Linked DNA regions of Caenorhabditis elegans. The protein of the gene in region 1 purifies or fractionates together with the protein of each later gene. This does not show direct contact. Each region holds a gene or a part of one and is shown on either strand. Other genes may lie near its edges.

Region 1 (7,402 bases):
TGCCTACGTAATAATTTATTCTTAGTATAAAACAATAAATCTTATGATAACAAAGAAAACGTTGTGTCATCACAATTCAAGAACAAAAGAAGTTCGAGATTATGCAGTACATCTGGTTGATTTTGATGAGCACAAAAAACAAGAAACTGCTTTTTCTGATTTGATGGCTACATCATAGGTGCACAAGAGTTCTATATTTTATGAATCAGCTTCATTTCGTTTTAAAAATTATCCTAGTGATTTCAGATCACAGATTTCTTAAATTTAAAAGTGATTTCATGTAATTTTTGGTGCAAATTTATAAATATTCAAAAGGGCAATATTGGTAAAAGGTTTTTAAATGCGGTCAGAATCGACTTTTCTCCTGCGTTGTCACCGGATAAGCGTCATAACCAACTCCCACATTTTTGCAAGATTTGAAAAAAAAAATTGGGAGGTTAGGGTGATGATGCTGAAGGTATACTTAGAAACGTATTGGAGGTGGAAAAACAAGCATCAGTATTTATGAAGCTGGTCTTTTCAGATATCATGGAAAAATAGCCAACGAAAAGACATTGCAATGACCGAGATTTCTGTTTAAAATAGGTATTTTTTGGAAAATTCTCAAAATGTTTGCATAATTCTCAACATATTCAAAACACGATGAATGAAGTTGGATAATTATGAAATTTAGTTTTTATCCTAAATTTGGCCATTACACATGGTGTCAGAGTGTCCCATTTCGGTTTGATCTACGTAGATCTACAAAAAAGCGGGAGTTGAGACGCAGACTTCTCAACTGATTTCGCATGGTTCAGAGCGTGCTAACGTTACTTTTTTTGGGAAAATTCCCTTGTAGATCAAATCGTAATGGGACAACCTGACACCACGTGCCGTTAGGGGGAATTTTGAGTCTTGGGAAGTAACACGAAATTTACTTGTCCCATACGGTAACATACGGTAACTTTCTTATTTCAACAGAGGCAAACTTGCAAATTAATCTAAAATATTATCAAGCTCTCAAAATCCTCTAAATTCGTCGGCGAACATCGGCTTAACCGCTCAAATTAGTCTGCGCGCATTTCAAATATTCCAAATTCCATATCTATACCTTTGGAGGTAAATCGTCATCTCCTCGGTCAACGAGAATCTTGAAAATGTCTGCAGGACTGTCCACATTGAACCAATCTTCACAGAAAAGTCCAGCAAGTCGTTCGTCATACGCTCTCTTCGCTTCGAGAACCATCAACACTTGGTAGGCTTTATGGTGATCTTCTTCAAGTCCGGATAACGAATCAGTTGATGCCTGAAACATTTGGAAAATGAATGGAATTATGGTGTCGATGTATGATTTGAAAGTAATCGTAAGATTGGTCAGATCATTGCAGATTTTATAAAGTTGCGTTTGCGTAGGCATAGTCCTTCAGCATCTAACATCACTGAACATCAATTTGAACTATGGCTTGTTTTCGTAGAAATTCATTCTTTTTCTAGGAATAATTAAACTATTGTTCTAAAAAAGAAAAAGTGAACTACCGGAAACAAAGAAGCCATGCTGAGCGTAGAAAATCGTCGGAAATCACGACATTAAAAAAGTTCAGTGCCAGCGACCTTTATTTCAGATTTTGAAAATTAAATCGACGAAAATCAATTTTTCCCCAACATTTTAGAAAACAATGTATACAAGAAAAAAAACAATGCATGCAAACAATGCAAACAATGTGTTTGTTTTATAAGAATTTTTTTGGCAGATTTGAGTGGAAATCAAAAATCTGAAAAGCCCGGTTTTGGGGAAATTCTACCCAAAATCTGAGAAAAATGAACTGAAAAACTTTCAGATTGAAATTTTATGGAAATTTTTTTAGCATGTTTAGTATGTTTCAATGGTATTTTTATCTATACTTCTACTTATTCATTTTTTAAATGTAATTTAACTAAACTATTCTATCAAAAGTTTATTAAAATGCCACCGGACATTAAATTAAACCAAATTTTTATAATTGAATTTCATGAAATTTGATAACTTTAGCATTTCCGGTAACCGGGATACATGACATTTCAAACTAAAAACTCAAAGAAAAAGTTGTCGTTCTTTGAAACAAGTCACACTTATAGTTTGTAGAAGAATCACACGAAAGACCAAATTTTCTAGTAAATTTTTTGTAAACGTGGGAAAATTGTAGTGATGTTGAGTAATGTAGTGTGGTCGAAGCATTTCTGTTGAAACTCACCAAATCATGCAACTTTTTCAGATCTTTTCGCATTGAAGACGGACTGTAGCCTGGCCATTTATTCATAAAATCGCATTCTTGGACTGCATTGTCGAATCGCTGGAAAATAAACATATATTAGTTTTAATCTCCAAAAAAAATAATTTCTGGACTCGGAGATTTTGTTTAGAAAGTAATCTACCAAATCGCGCGGGTTTATAAAATTTGCCTCCCATAAGAATAAGTCTACTTTAAGCCAGTTTTTGCGTGGTTTTTGTTTTGTTGTTCTCCTCTCATACATCGGATTTTACTGTAATCCTATAAAGTGATTCAATTTCCTATTCTCATATCGTAGACATGTTGATTTGAAAGGAAACTGTCTCGTTTGACGTATTATAATAATCATTATTATTATTCACAGGCATTATTCTTCCTTTTTCCAGCTAGTCGACAGTTTCTGAAACTGTGGACACTTGGGGTTTTGAGCTCAAAAATCACAAGACAGAATATTAAATACTTCCACTTTTTTCACAGGTCAGATCTATCTGCAACAAAATGTAGTCAGAATGATACCAGATATAGGGTCATTTGACAAGGGTCCTTCTTCCTTTATTGACGTCAATAATGAAATCAGAACAAGAAATTGGGTGAAAAGTGCAAAGGGCACAAGATGTACTTTTGCCATTTTTTTAAATTTCTTTTTGAGCATCTTCGTGACCATTCAATCATTTTCAGAAGCGTTCTTCACACGCAAATGTGCCACTTCCACACCTCTCAAAAATTTGAAATTTTCACGCTGAAAATTGGATTCCTCATTTTGTGTGGTTCCTGGACACTTTAAGATTCACTAGGATTAAATTGAGATTAACAGTGACGCCCGGGAGCTCGGACTTTTCGGTTTTTTTCGGATGGGAATGCCGACTAGAAAAGTTACATTCGTTGAAGTGAGACATATTTAAAAGTACAAAACGATTTGTTGATCTTCTATACTTTATCAAATGTCTCTTTAAAGCTACTGGCAAACATTCAAATGATCACCTCATAAGGCGTGGTAGATCAATCACTAAACGTGCAGATTGTCTTTAAAAAAATTTTAACTCCAAAATTTGGTCGTTCAAATAATGAGTCAACGTTGTGGCTCACAAAACAGAAGAGTTCAGAAATATTTTTGGTGCTGGTAGCGATGCGGATAACTAATTAGTAGAGGCTAACTGAAATCATTCACGTCAAGAGGCAAAAGAACACCGAATCGCTGAGTCAAAAAGAGTTCTGATCAACAGTAGGGAAGATCGCACTGTGTAGAATGATCTCAAATGGCGCCCTGTTTGGTACGGTGAAATATAGGGCTGTACAACCGGACGTCCGGTCGTCCGAACCGGACGCACATGCGTCCGGTTGGGGGTAGCTATCCACGACGGCCGACAATTTCCGAGTTTCGCCACTCACTATAAAACTGCTGATTAAGTATAGTGAGTGGCGAAACTCGGAAATTGTCGGCCGCCGTGGAAACCTACCCCAAAACCGGACGCAGTGCGTCCGGTGGTGTCAAAATCGGACGACCGGACGCCGATTTGTACAGCCCTAGTGAAATAAGTACACGTCAAAAACCCCAATTAGTGAATAAAGGGATATCCGTGTTATTTTTTTCCGATCTCCTCATTCTGAAAACCTTACTATCTATATGACATAACTTGGCATTCTTCCCTTGATCCTTATGTACTTTTAACTTAATCAAAACATGAGCTGACCATTTATCTTAACATTATCACCCGTATCTGTCACATGTTTCTAAAAAACACCTCCTGATCTTCAGCTTTTCTTTTCCACCTCCTTTTTCCTATTTTCCAGCTCTGTTCAAAGCCCGCCTTTCGTTACTAAAAAACTGACTCCGCCCATTTCAGCTTCATCATATAAACAGAGTTGGCAGTAGGGCTAATCACTACTTCGAGTCACTCGGACATCTGCCGATCTCTTTTTTTCGATCTCACTGAAACGGTCGACATGTTGAACACTCCAACTGTTATTCTCATCTCTTCACTCGTCCTGGCCTCGGGTTACAGTGTTCGTTCAACTGCTAAGAACACCGTTCAAGATGCTCACGATCAACTCACAAAGAGCATTCGGTGCTGGGAGCCGATTGATGTCAACAATCCATCAAAAGGATACACGATGAGCGAGCCGATCTACGAGTTGTGTAGCTACATGCCAGACCCAAAGGACTACAACAAGTACTACGTCAATGGAGTTCAAATGGATTCCGATGATTACACCAACATCTTGGCCATGTACGGAAATCCAATCCCAGGACACGCTGTGATCAACGTTTGTCTACAAGAGGTAGGTTCAATATTATCAGGCTTAATATAATTGGAGGAATCGGTTTCTTATATAAAATCACTTCAGGCATTCCAATTCCACGCTGCAAACCATCCATCTCAGGTCAGCCTACGTTGTTTGTGCAAAAGAGACGGTTGCAATCTACCAAAAGGATTTACAACCTTCCTCGATTTCAATAAGCTCCCGATGCCAGAAGTCTTCTACTAATTCCTGAATCCTTTCGTCCAATAATATGCTATTCGTCGGGATGTCGCCAGTCTTCTTTTCCTATAATCCCCATTTTTGAATAATTCCTGATTTTCTTCTTCCTTGAACCCGTGATAATGACCATTTCTGATAATTGAACAAACGAACTGAATAAAGATGAGAAACGTTGCAGTATTCTGAGTTGTTCCATAATCCCAGAATCTTCAAATGATCGATTGCTTACGAATATTTGAAAGAAAAAGTGAACAAAGACTATGGTATACATACTCTCCCAACTATAAGTTAGCCGACTATTTTCAGATATCATGAAGAGGCTCCTTCGACGTAGGTAAATCTTCTGATTATACCCATTCATCTTGATTGTATAAATGCCGGATTAACTGACATCCATTATTGCTTTCCATTCTTAATCCGATTAGATTATTCCATTTGTAGATCCACCAAAAAATGAAATATATGTGTGACGTATAGAGACCAAAGAAGCTATTCATTATTCTAGATCATTCCAACTGTCTAACTTTGGTTTTCAAACTTTTAAACAGTAAATAAATGAGCCCTGAAGAGTTGATCGCCGTGCGCGTCCAACATCACCCATACAACTCATAAAGTATTCTTCGTGTGAGGTCTTGTTTACGTCACGGGCTCTTCTTGCCAAAAAGCGAAAAGCTAAAAACGAAGAACATACAACGCAACATAGGTTATTCTGCAAAATTAATGAGATCTTGCTGATGAGAGTAATCGAACACAAATTCTTCGATGCATCTGAATGATCAATCTGGCAATGAGCAATGGATACACATAAATTATTTCCCCTGCAAAACTAGTGGCATTCAATTTGCATTTTAATGATAATATGGGAATGAGCACGAATCCTCGCTTATTCCATTTATAACATTCAGGTTAACCGGTCTAGTGATTCTGAACTTTAGCAGACGAGTTAATGATAACCAAGACGTCGAAATCATCAGAGCTGACATTATTGACTTTTCAGCAGAATTCAATACGTCAGACACATCTTCTAATTGGGACGAAGCTTCTAGATATTGTGCAATGATGCTTCTCATCTGAAACCTTGTCTGGCGGAGCCAACTTGCACTTTTCAAGATATTATTCAAGAAGCACGTCAAAGGTGTGGTGGGTGGTGAAACGCAAGAAAAAACTAAAAATATCCTAAATGTTCTATAATCTTTTATTATTGTTTGGGTATTTGATACCAGATCGTGATATTCCAATCATCCAAATGGGATAAGAAGCTATTCTAGATTTTCTGTCATTTCTTGAGCTGAAAACAGCTTTCTTCAATAATCGCGGGGTTTCTTGGCATCGGAGGATTCAAATGTAAAAATCTGCGAACTTAAAGGTTTTCAAACAAACTTCAAAGAGCATGAAAAATCACATAAAGTGGTTAGATTCTCTAGAACAAAATATTACAGTAGTACTCTATGAATGATTCACTGAAAATTTCGAAAAACAAATGTATTCTCATTTTTAGAAAAAAAAACAATTCGTACCGAAGTCAAATCGTGACGACTTTAATCCGCTTTTTATTTTCTTTTTTGTTCGACAACTGGCTTCAATAACGACAATAACGCACGTAATTAATTGAGAAATCCGGTGGATGTGTCATTGGAAGAAAAATTGAATTTTCAAAAAACGATGGGGACCCATTTTTAATCAAAAGAGCATGGGTGCTTTGTTCATTTTATCTTGTTATTCTTGAAATTTCATTCCATTTTTTAAGCACACGGGGGTACTTTCAAATGCGGAAATTTTTTTGGCATTTTTGTGAAATTGCTCACCTTTTCAATAATCGACCACGTGGCGTCGCGAAGAAGTGAACATTTGTGATAAAGAGCCGATCGCATGAATAGAGAAACACATGATTCATTTGATTCGGTGACACTCGGAACGGCGACTCGTTTCAGACGACGCTTATGATAGATGGTTTGGAGGTCCTGTAATAACTTTGAAATGGTGTAATTTTTTTTTTTTTTGAAAAAACTTGAAGGATTTTCAAATTCTCAACAATTTTGATGATGTATTGTGAATGTTTTTTTTAATCGATTAAAGCACATTCACATTTTCACCATTTAAAATTAATTAGAATTCCATTTTGCACAAAGTTGGAGAAAGTAACCAGACGAGCAAAAAAACCTTTTCGAGGTAAAATGGACTTACAAAATAGATATTGGTTTTTAAAAAAAATCAAATCCGTAATTTTTAAGAGGGCTATTTTTGTGTGTAAAAAACTATTTAAAAAAGTATTCATTTTTTTGCATTTTTGGCCATTGTCTTTAATTGTGTCAAAAAAAATTTGTTTTAATTCAATAAAACATTACTTTACATTTTTAGACATCACATGAATAACCCCATACTTAAGAAGTTTTTCTGAAAGTTCTCACCCTAAATGGTGGTGAATATGGCTGAAAAATTTCACAAGCCATCACCATCAAATCTCTCGACATTTTCGGAGCAAACTTTGGCTCAATTTCCCGCGTTACAGATGAAGAAGCAATTGACAGGGCTCGTTGAACGGCAACTTCTGATTCAAGATCCCAATCAAGGTTTGCTCGTCGAAGTCTTTGTGGTGATGATCCTTCTTCATCGAATCCAATACGACTCGGTCCGTTACGATCAATATCATCACACCATTCCAGTGAAGCACACGA
Region 2 (7,786 bases), on another chromosome or scaffold:
ACATTGTTTATCAATTTTACCTCAATGGTAAGGAATTTTTAAGTTTGCTGGAAACTGCTCGAGTTTCAGGAGTAATCCACCAACCATCAAACTTGTGCCCCGTAGATATCATTGAAGAGTTGGAGTATTGGAGAATCATACCCGATCAATATTTGGCGTCGTGCTGTTGTGCTCAGCAAATTGTACGTTTTTTTTGTAAAGGAATGTTCGTGTGAAAATTAGAATTTCTGGTGGTTTTTTATATTTTCTGATATTTTTTCAATAACTGTAAAAATGCACAACTTTCCAAAAAACCTGAAAAGCACCTACCACATTTTTCAGGACGATGACGACGAGGAAGTCGAAGAGCAGGACAAGCCGAATTTATTCAAAACTTTGAGATTTGGGGAAATTCGTCGTTGCGTTTGGAATATAATTGAGGAGCCGGCTAGTTCGGGAAAAGCCCAAGCTTTTGCAGTTTGCTCCGTGGTATTTGTGCTCATTTCGATAAGCGGACTCGTGTTGGGAAGCTTGCCCGAGTTGCAGGTGGCTACGAAACAGAGGAACAATTTGACTGGGGAAGGTATGTTGGCCGTCGCTCTGGGCTTTCAACTTTTCTTTACCTGTTTTACAGAATTCACGGAAATGGAGCCTATGCCAATTTTAGGATATATCGAATATGTTTGCATTGTTTGGTTTACTATGGAGTACGGTAAGGCAATTTCAAATTTTGTAAAAAAAACGTTTTGGCGGGAAATTAAAATTTTCCGAATAAAAATTTAGCGCGAAATTCAAATTTTGTGCGACGAACTTTGCAGGGAATTTAAAGTTTTGTGAGAAAACTTGTGCGGGGGATTTTTTGGCGGGAATTTCAATTTTCGCAAAAAAGAAACTAGGCAAAATTCAACTTTTATGAAAAACATTTGGCGGGAAATTCAAATTTATGAAAACAATTTTGGCAGAAAATTTAAATTTTGCGGGGAATTTTTTGGGGCGAAATTTAAATTTGTGGAAAATTTTAGGCGCGAAACTCAACGAAAATTCTAGAAAATTCAAAACCCTGCTAAAAATTTGTAAATTTTTGGAAGACATGGCAAATTTCTAAAAGCTTCTTAAAACAGTCAAAAATAAAAAATTCCGTACATTGAAAAATTGTTACTGTTTTTTCTTCAGGCCTAAAAATGTTGGTCAGTGCTGAGAGGAGCAAGACATTCCGGCAACTGCTCAACATCATAGATCTACTTGCTATCCTTCCATTTATCATAGAAATGCTTCTCTTAATTTTTGGAATATCAACGGAGCAACTACGGGACCTCAAAGGAGCATTCCTTGTTATTCGAATTCTTCGAGTGCTCAGAGTCATTCGTGTGCTCAAGTTGGGACGATATTCCAGTGGTCTGCAAATGTTCGGAAAAACTTTGAAAGTAGGTCCAAGTTTTGATTTCGCGCCAAAATTTTTTGAAAGAAAAATGGCTTTTTGACTCCGCCCCTTTATTGGCAATTTTCAGGCGTCATTCCGTCAACTGGGTATGATGGCAATGGTTGTAATGACAGGTGTCATATTTTTCTCGACTTTGGTATATTTTTTGGAAAAAGACGAGCCCGCTTCAAAATTCCATTCAATTCCGGCGGCGTGTTGGTGGTAAGACACTTTTTTTCCAAAAATATTTGAAATTTTTTGAAAAAAAACTGATATTTAGGTGTATTGTCACCATGACAACAGTCGGTAAGATATAAATGTTGTAACGTACTTTGTTTCGGAAATTTTTGAAAATTTTAAAATAAAATATAAAACGAAATTTTCAGGGTACGGGGACCTGACTCCGGTTACAGTTCGTAAGTTTTTTAAAATTAATTTAATTTTAAAAAATTCAGATTTCTTGTGATTTTGTTCCCTTGGGCATATATTTTGGGCACTATTTTTCAAGTTTTGGGTTACTGTAGCGCCAAAAGTACGCAGTACACCAAACCTCACGACAAAATGCACAGATTTTTTAAATTGCGCAAAAAAAGGCTGGTTAGGGTAAAAATGTCGGTGAGCACAAATTTTGACATGAAAAATCTTTAAAAACTATTTAAGCCTAGTTTTTTATTCAATTTTCACTAAAAAAAAATTTTTTTTTAATTTCAGCTGGAAAACTGGTGGCAACTGGGGCAATCGCGTGTGGAGTCTTGGTTTTAGCATTGCCCATCACAATTATAGTGAGTTTTGTGATTTTTCAGAGTATTTTTTTTATGTATTAGCTTTTCCAACAATGTACTTTAGGCTCAAGTCGCATTCTCACTGAAATCGCGAGAACGTGAGAAAATGGCAAAACGTGTGTTTTTTGATGAATAAATGTGCATTTTTCACTCACACAAGCTTATGCAATAGTGATTTGAGAATAAAATTTTGATAGAAAACAAAAACCAAATTAGCTCCGCTGGTGTGTCATTGAAAATTTTTTTTTTGAAACTCTTGTATCTTTGCAGGTATTTAATTTAAAAAATAGTTTAGAACTAATAAAATGTGCAAAATTTTGTGTAGAACAATTTGTTAGTTGATAACTTTTCAGTAGAATCAATCGTTGTTGAGATATGACGATTTTAGCGAAGTTACAGGTTACTGTAGCTCTGGAAGTACGCAGTGCACCGAATCTTACGACAACATGCACAAAACTTTAAAATTGTGCAAAATATGCTTTTTGGGTAAACACGTGGTGTCAGAGTGTCCCATTTCGGCTTGATCTTCTTAGATCTACAAAAAATGCGGGAAACGAGACGCAGAGTTCTCAACTGATTTCGCATGGTTAAGAACGTGTTGACTTCACATTTTTTTAGGCAAAAAATTCCCGCATTTTTTGTAGATCAAACCGCAATGGGACAGATTGGCGCCACGTTTTAAAACCTGTGCGTTTTGCCGTAAGATTCGGTGTATCGCGTACTCTTAGGGCACAAGTAACCCGTAATGCGTCATATCTCTGAAAAAACAAAACTTTGAGCACTTTTCTTTACTAAAAACGTTTTTTTTTCAATTCTAACCCTGCACATTACAAGATTTTCAACAGAAAATTTGATAGCCAGGAAACAAATTTTCTTCTAATTTTTTTTTTTAATTTTCAGGTCGATAACTTCATGAAAGTGGCTGAAACTGAACGTCCGGCGGGTGGAAATCGATATCGAACATCTCAATACCCAAAAGCTACAAAATCCGAGCAAATGATTTTGAAAGTTACCTAAAAAAAGTTTGAAATTTTGCCAATTTTGCCAATTTTTCCCCAACCGTCCCAATGTATTTGTCTTTTTATATGTTTTTCAAATTTTATTTAACGAAACAATTTTCAAAAAAATACTCCAATTAATATTCTGTCTTGTCCGGTTTGTTGGACCACATTTGGAATGGGAGTAGGTAGTTGTCGGCTGCCAAATGCTCCAATTTTCGGATTTCATCGCTTTTCGGGTCTTTTAGGAAGTCGTGGAATGCTTTGTCGTCGAATCCAATCTCGGCCGCCTGGAAGAACTTGTTTTATTTGGAAAAGGTTTTTTTTTTTGGGTTACTGTGTCACCGAAAATACGCAGTGCACCAAAGCTTACGACAAAATGCACAGTTTTTTTTTAAATTGAACTGAAAAAAGGTGCAGAATTCGATTTTTTTAGTAAAAAATTTTGAAAATTACTTTTTCCAAGGGTTTCCACAAATTAATGAACTTGAGAAAATGCACAAAATTATGGATTTTTACAGGCAATTTCTAGATTAGGTCTATAACTGGTTTGAACAGATTCGGTAAAATTTCAAAAGTTTGTGATTTTGCCGTAAGGTCCGGTGTATTGCGTACTTTTGGTGCTACAGTAACCCAAAGTTTGAAAAATAACCCCGAACGTCACTAAAATTGATAAAAGCTCTTAAAGAGACAGTAATAGTGTAAAAAATTAGTTTTTATGAAAATCACCTGCTGAGCAGTTGCTCCGTAGTAAATTGCGTCGAATCGAGCCCAAAGGCATCCGCCCATGCACATTGGGCATGGATAGCAAGATGTGTACAAAATATGTCCAGATAGGTCAAAAGTTCCTGAAAACGTGAATTTCAATTAAAAACTTATCGAAAAAAAACGTCGAAAAAATTTAGCATTTTTTAACAGAAAAATAGTTAATCGTTGTTTTTTTTCAATTTTCAAAAATAATTTTAAACTATCTAACTTGTAAAATTATGTGAAAAAATTTGCTCTAATTCGAGAAAAAATTCTGCAACTTTTTTTTTGAAAAAAAAAATCCTAAAAATCGCAAAAAAATTTTTTAAGAAATATAGGAAATCGAGGTTGTAAAATTCAAATGTTATGTCAATTTATCACTAGATGCTCTAAATATTCGTGTGCCTACCCAATGCCTTGCAGGCATTCTTAATAGCAGTCATCTCGGCGTGCATTGTCGGATCCTTGGTGACCAGCACCATATTGTGGCCTTTTGCGACCACTTTCCCGTTTGAATCAACTACAACCGCACCGAATGGTCCACCATCTCCACACTCGACACCTCGACAAGCTTCTGCGACAGCTTCGGCCATGTGCTCAGCGTGATGGGGTGGGAGAGGCTTATCAGAGGCGGATGGGCTCATTTTATAGTAGGAGTTGGGGAAGGTTCTGAAAAAAAATTAGTAAGGTCTGACGAAGAAAGGAAATTTTCGAGGTGAGCAGGCGGGTTTTTGTTGAAAAAACTCCCAAAAAAGTAAATAAAAAATTCTAAAAATTCAACAAAATGCAACAAATTTTTCCCCCAAAAAACCCAAAAATTCGCGTCGAAAGTGGCAAAACGTCTTTGAAACAGGTCACGATCATCATCGTCTTATCACAAAGTGATCCCTTATCAGCGACGAGCTTTTCCACCCCCAGCTGCCCGAGCCAACCACGTGAGCTCCGCGAGCACTTTCTTTTTTTTTTTGGTTTTTCTGGTATGATGTCTGTTGTAAGATTATTTAATTGATAAGAAATTAAAAAAGGTTTTGATAAGAAAATTTGTGAGAAATGGAAGAAAATTGAAAATTTATGGGGGCCTAGTATCAGGTGAGAGAGTGGCAGGGGAAAGTGCAAGAGGTGGTAGATCAAATAATTAAAAACTGAAGCTTTTGCGGGGAACTCGGCATTCACCGCCAGCTTCTTGCCCAAGTTTCACCCAAGAAAAATTAACATGGATTAGAAGCTGGCCAAACTTGGGCAAAACTTGGGTAAAACTTGGGCTAAACTTGGGCTAAACTTGGGCAAGACCTTGGTGATTATAGATGCGAATTATGCCGCGCTTTTACTTTATTCTTTAGACGATTTCCTGTGGAAAATATTTATTTAAGGACAAAACATGAACAGGGTTAACAACAAAAATCAATTACAAAAAAAAAACAACGAAAAATTAAGCTTCAGTGGGTGGAGTCTTTGACCGATCGTCCAGCAGCGGAGACATCATGCTCATTGCGTTGACCGGTTGCACTGTAATGAAAATGTATTGGTTTATCGATTAAAAGTATTGAGTTACTTACAATCTGATAACTTCTTCTGGTGACGTTTCCATCCTCTGATGCTGTTCTCTGAACTTTCGAACCTGTCCCCACTTGAGATGATGCTCGCAATAAGATGGTTTATTGCAGTTGAATAGTGCTCCTTTGGCAATATCAAAGTGATATGTTCGAAGATTGTTCCTGAAATCATATCATTTTTTTTTACATTTTACAATTTTTACGAGATTTCTTACATTGCTTTGCCAAGGGCTTCTACTGCGTTCTTGAACACTGTGATTCTTTCGTCCCTACGGCGCTGAACCTCAAGTTCTGCTCCTTCTCCAAGCGTTTTGATGAATCTAGAAGAAATGAAATGAATAATTCAAAATTGTTTAAAGTTGGTTCATGTCTTACTCATGCTCCCTATCAATCGAACCGTATGACAGCTCAACCGGCAAATAAACTCCAACAATATCGAATGCGACTTCTGAAAAAAACATGATTTTGTGATTAGAAATTGTTCACATCTTAAACGCACCAATAATCGCTGTTGTCACTTTTTGTGGTAACTCTTGAAAATGTCTATCAACACGGCGAACACAGCTTGGTCGGTAAGTAAATGCCCAGATTTTATAAGAAGGCTCCAGCATCTGAATTGAATTTATTATTTTTATATATCAAAATGTCAACTTACAGTTTTCAAGGCAACCATATAGAAATTTGAAAGTTGCGAGACGGCATCACCTCCAATCAAGAGTTCAGAGTTATAAATATCTGTGAGATTACACGTAGGAAACCCGTCAGCTTGTGAAATTGTGTGGTTCATCGTAAGTGTTCGTTTCACGATACATCCAGCGTTCAACTGCTTTGAAATTTTCGATGTCAGGGTGTGCACGTTTGCTGCAAGTGCGGTGTAATTCCCATCCTTAGGATCCTGCATTTTAAACTGAAAAAAGTATTAGGATATGAAATTGATTAATTACGGCCTGCCATCATCATCTGTGCAATTTGAATAGACTCTTTCTCGTCTTCTGTAGATTGTCTGAGAGCCTGGACGAACTGTAGGATCGAGAAGTTTGGACGAGTTGTATGTTTACAAAATTCCTTAAAATTAAGATATTAAGATTAAATATTTGGATATTTTGGATATTTTGCACCTCTATCTGGATCTCTGAAAGAGTTCCATTTTCTAATCCCTTCTTCACAACGTTGCCCATTTCCATAACATCTTGATTTCGAACCGCTGATTCCAGTTGCTCTGAAAATTACAATTTGCTTTAAACTCAAGATTTAGTTTCAATGTGACTTACCAATCATAGTTTTCTGGACCGCTCTGTTTTGTAGATGCTGAAAAACATCAAATCCCGCGGAGGTACTTGATCTGTCTGTGCTGTCCCCGGTTGCCTCATTGCTTTGTGAGCAACATGTTCCTTCACGAAGTTTCTGTTTTCGATAGGCTGTGCGCCCAGCCTTTGAATCAATTGTACCAGTTTTTGCGCGATTATTTGTCAGTACAGAATGTACAGAATGCTCTTTAAGGAATGGCGAGCACGAAATTTCACTCTTGACTTTTTTATAAGCGAAGTTGTTTTCAATTTCTTGCTCCTCCACTCCGACTTCCTCTTCAACTTCATCTTCGTTTCCGTTTCCACTCTCCTCATATTCTTCGTCGTCCAATTCTTCATCATCTATTTCGTCTTCAATGTCGTCTTCAATTCCGTACCCGTGCTCAAAAATCACTGGTTTTTTTGGGAATACAACTGGCTTCATAGTCGTTATAGTGTTCTCTCCAGAATAAAAGTTTTCGTAGTCGTCATCGTTCTTTTTTTTCTTGTTAACCGAAGATGTTCGAGTACTGGTTGCAAGTGGCTTCATCTTCCCTCTTGGATCTTCCCTCTTATGACGAATGGAACGTGTCGATCTTGGGGTATTTTCATTTCCAGTCGGAGCCTGAATTTTACTTTTGCTAATTTTCTAATGAGGATTATTAACTCACCGAAACTTTTCTTCTCTTAAGAGGCGCCATATTTAGATTCCAAAGTTAAATTATACTGAAAGTGATTAATGAATTAAATAACAGCGAAAAAGGCAAATATTTTCGAGAACAAAAAGGATAAAATAATAGTTTACAAATAAAATAAGAGAGTGTCAAAGAAAAAACAAAAAACAGTTAATTATATGTGTAAAATTGAGAAAAAATTATTGAAAATGATAAAATATGACGGAAATAGGAAGAAAAATTAACGATAATTAAAAGAGAAAGTTGATTTCGAAATTAATAATCATTGCGTTAAGAGCGCTGCGGATGAGCGCTGTGTGCCTAAACTTGGGCCAAACTTGGGCCAA

What was found. The genes of interacting proteins can lie anywhere in the genome.
Region 2: the proteins of droe-4 (region 1) and gda-1 fractionate together in Caenorhabditis elegans (co-fractionation; one large-scale study listed by BioGRID). This does not show direct contact.

The regions. Positions count from the first base shown.
Region 1 is NC_003283.11:13,988,572-13,995,973, forward strand, and holds droe-4 (dietary restriction over expressed), read left to right. Parts: upstream 1-4,084; 5' UTR 4,085-4,190; coding exon 4,191-4,526; intron 4,527-4,592; coding exon 4,593-4,733; 3' UTR 4,734-4,905; downstream 4,906-7,402. Other genes in the region: ric-7 (CRAL-TRIO domain-containing protein), read right to left, coding at 1,091-1,285, 2,211-2,309, 6,533-6,688, 7,136-7,402.
Region 2 is NC_003281.10:11,021,972-11,029,757, forward strand, and holds gda-1 (CMP/dCMP-type deaminase domain-containing protein), read right to left. Parts: upstream 4,596-7,786; 5' UTR 4,571-4,595; coding exon 4,336-4,570; intron 4,028-4,335; coding exon 3,909-4,027; intron 3,470-3,908; coding exon 3,317-3,469; 3' UTR 3,268-3,316; downstream 1-3,267. Other genes in the region: putative voltage-gated potassium channel subunit kvs-4, read left to right, coding at 1-27, 70-182, 322-562, 614-691, 1,153-1,403, 1,488-1,621, 1,680-1,705, 1,786-1,815 and 2 more; Y48A6B.8 (Wsv161), read right to left, coding at 5,363-5,432, 5,483-5,641, 5,695-5,799, 5,855-5,927, 5,979-6,090, 6,135-6,386, 6,431-6,544, 6,598-6,698 and 2 more.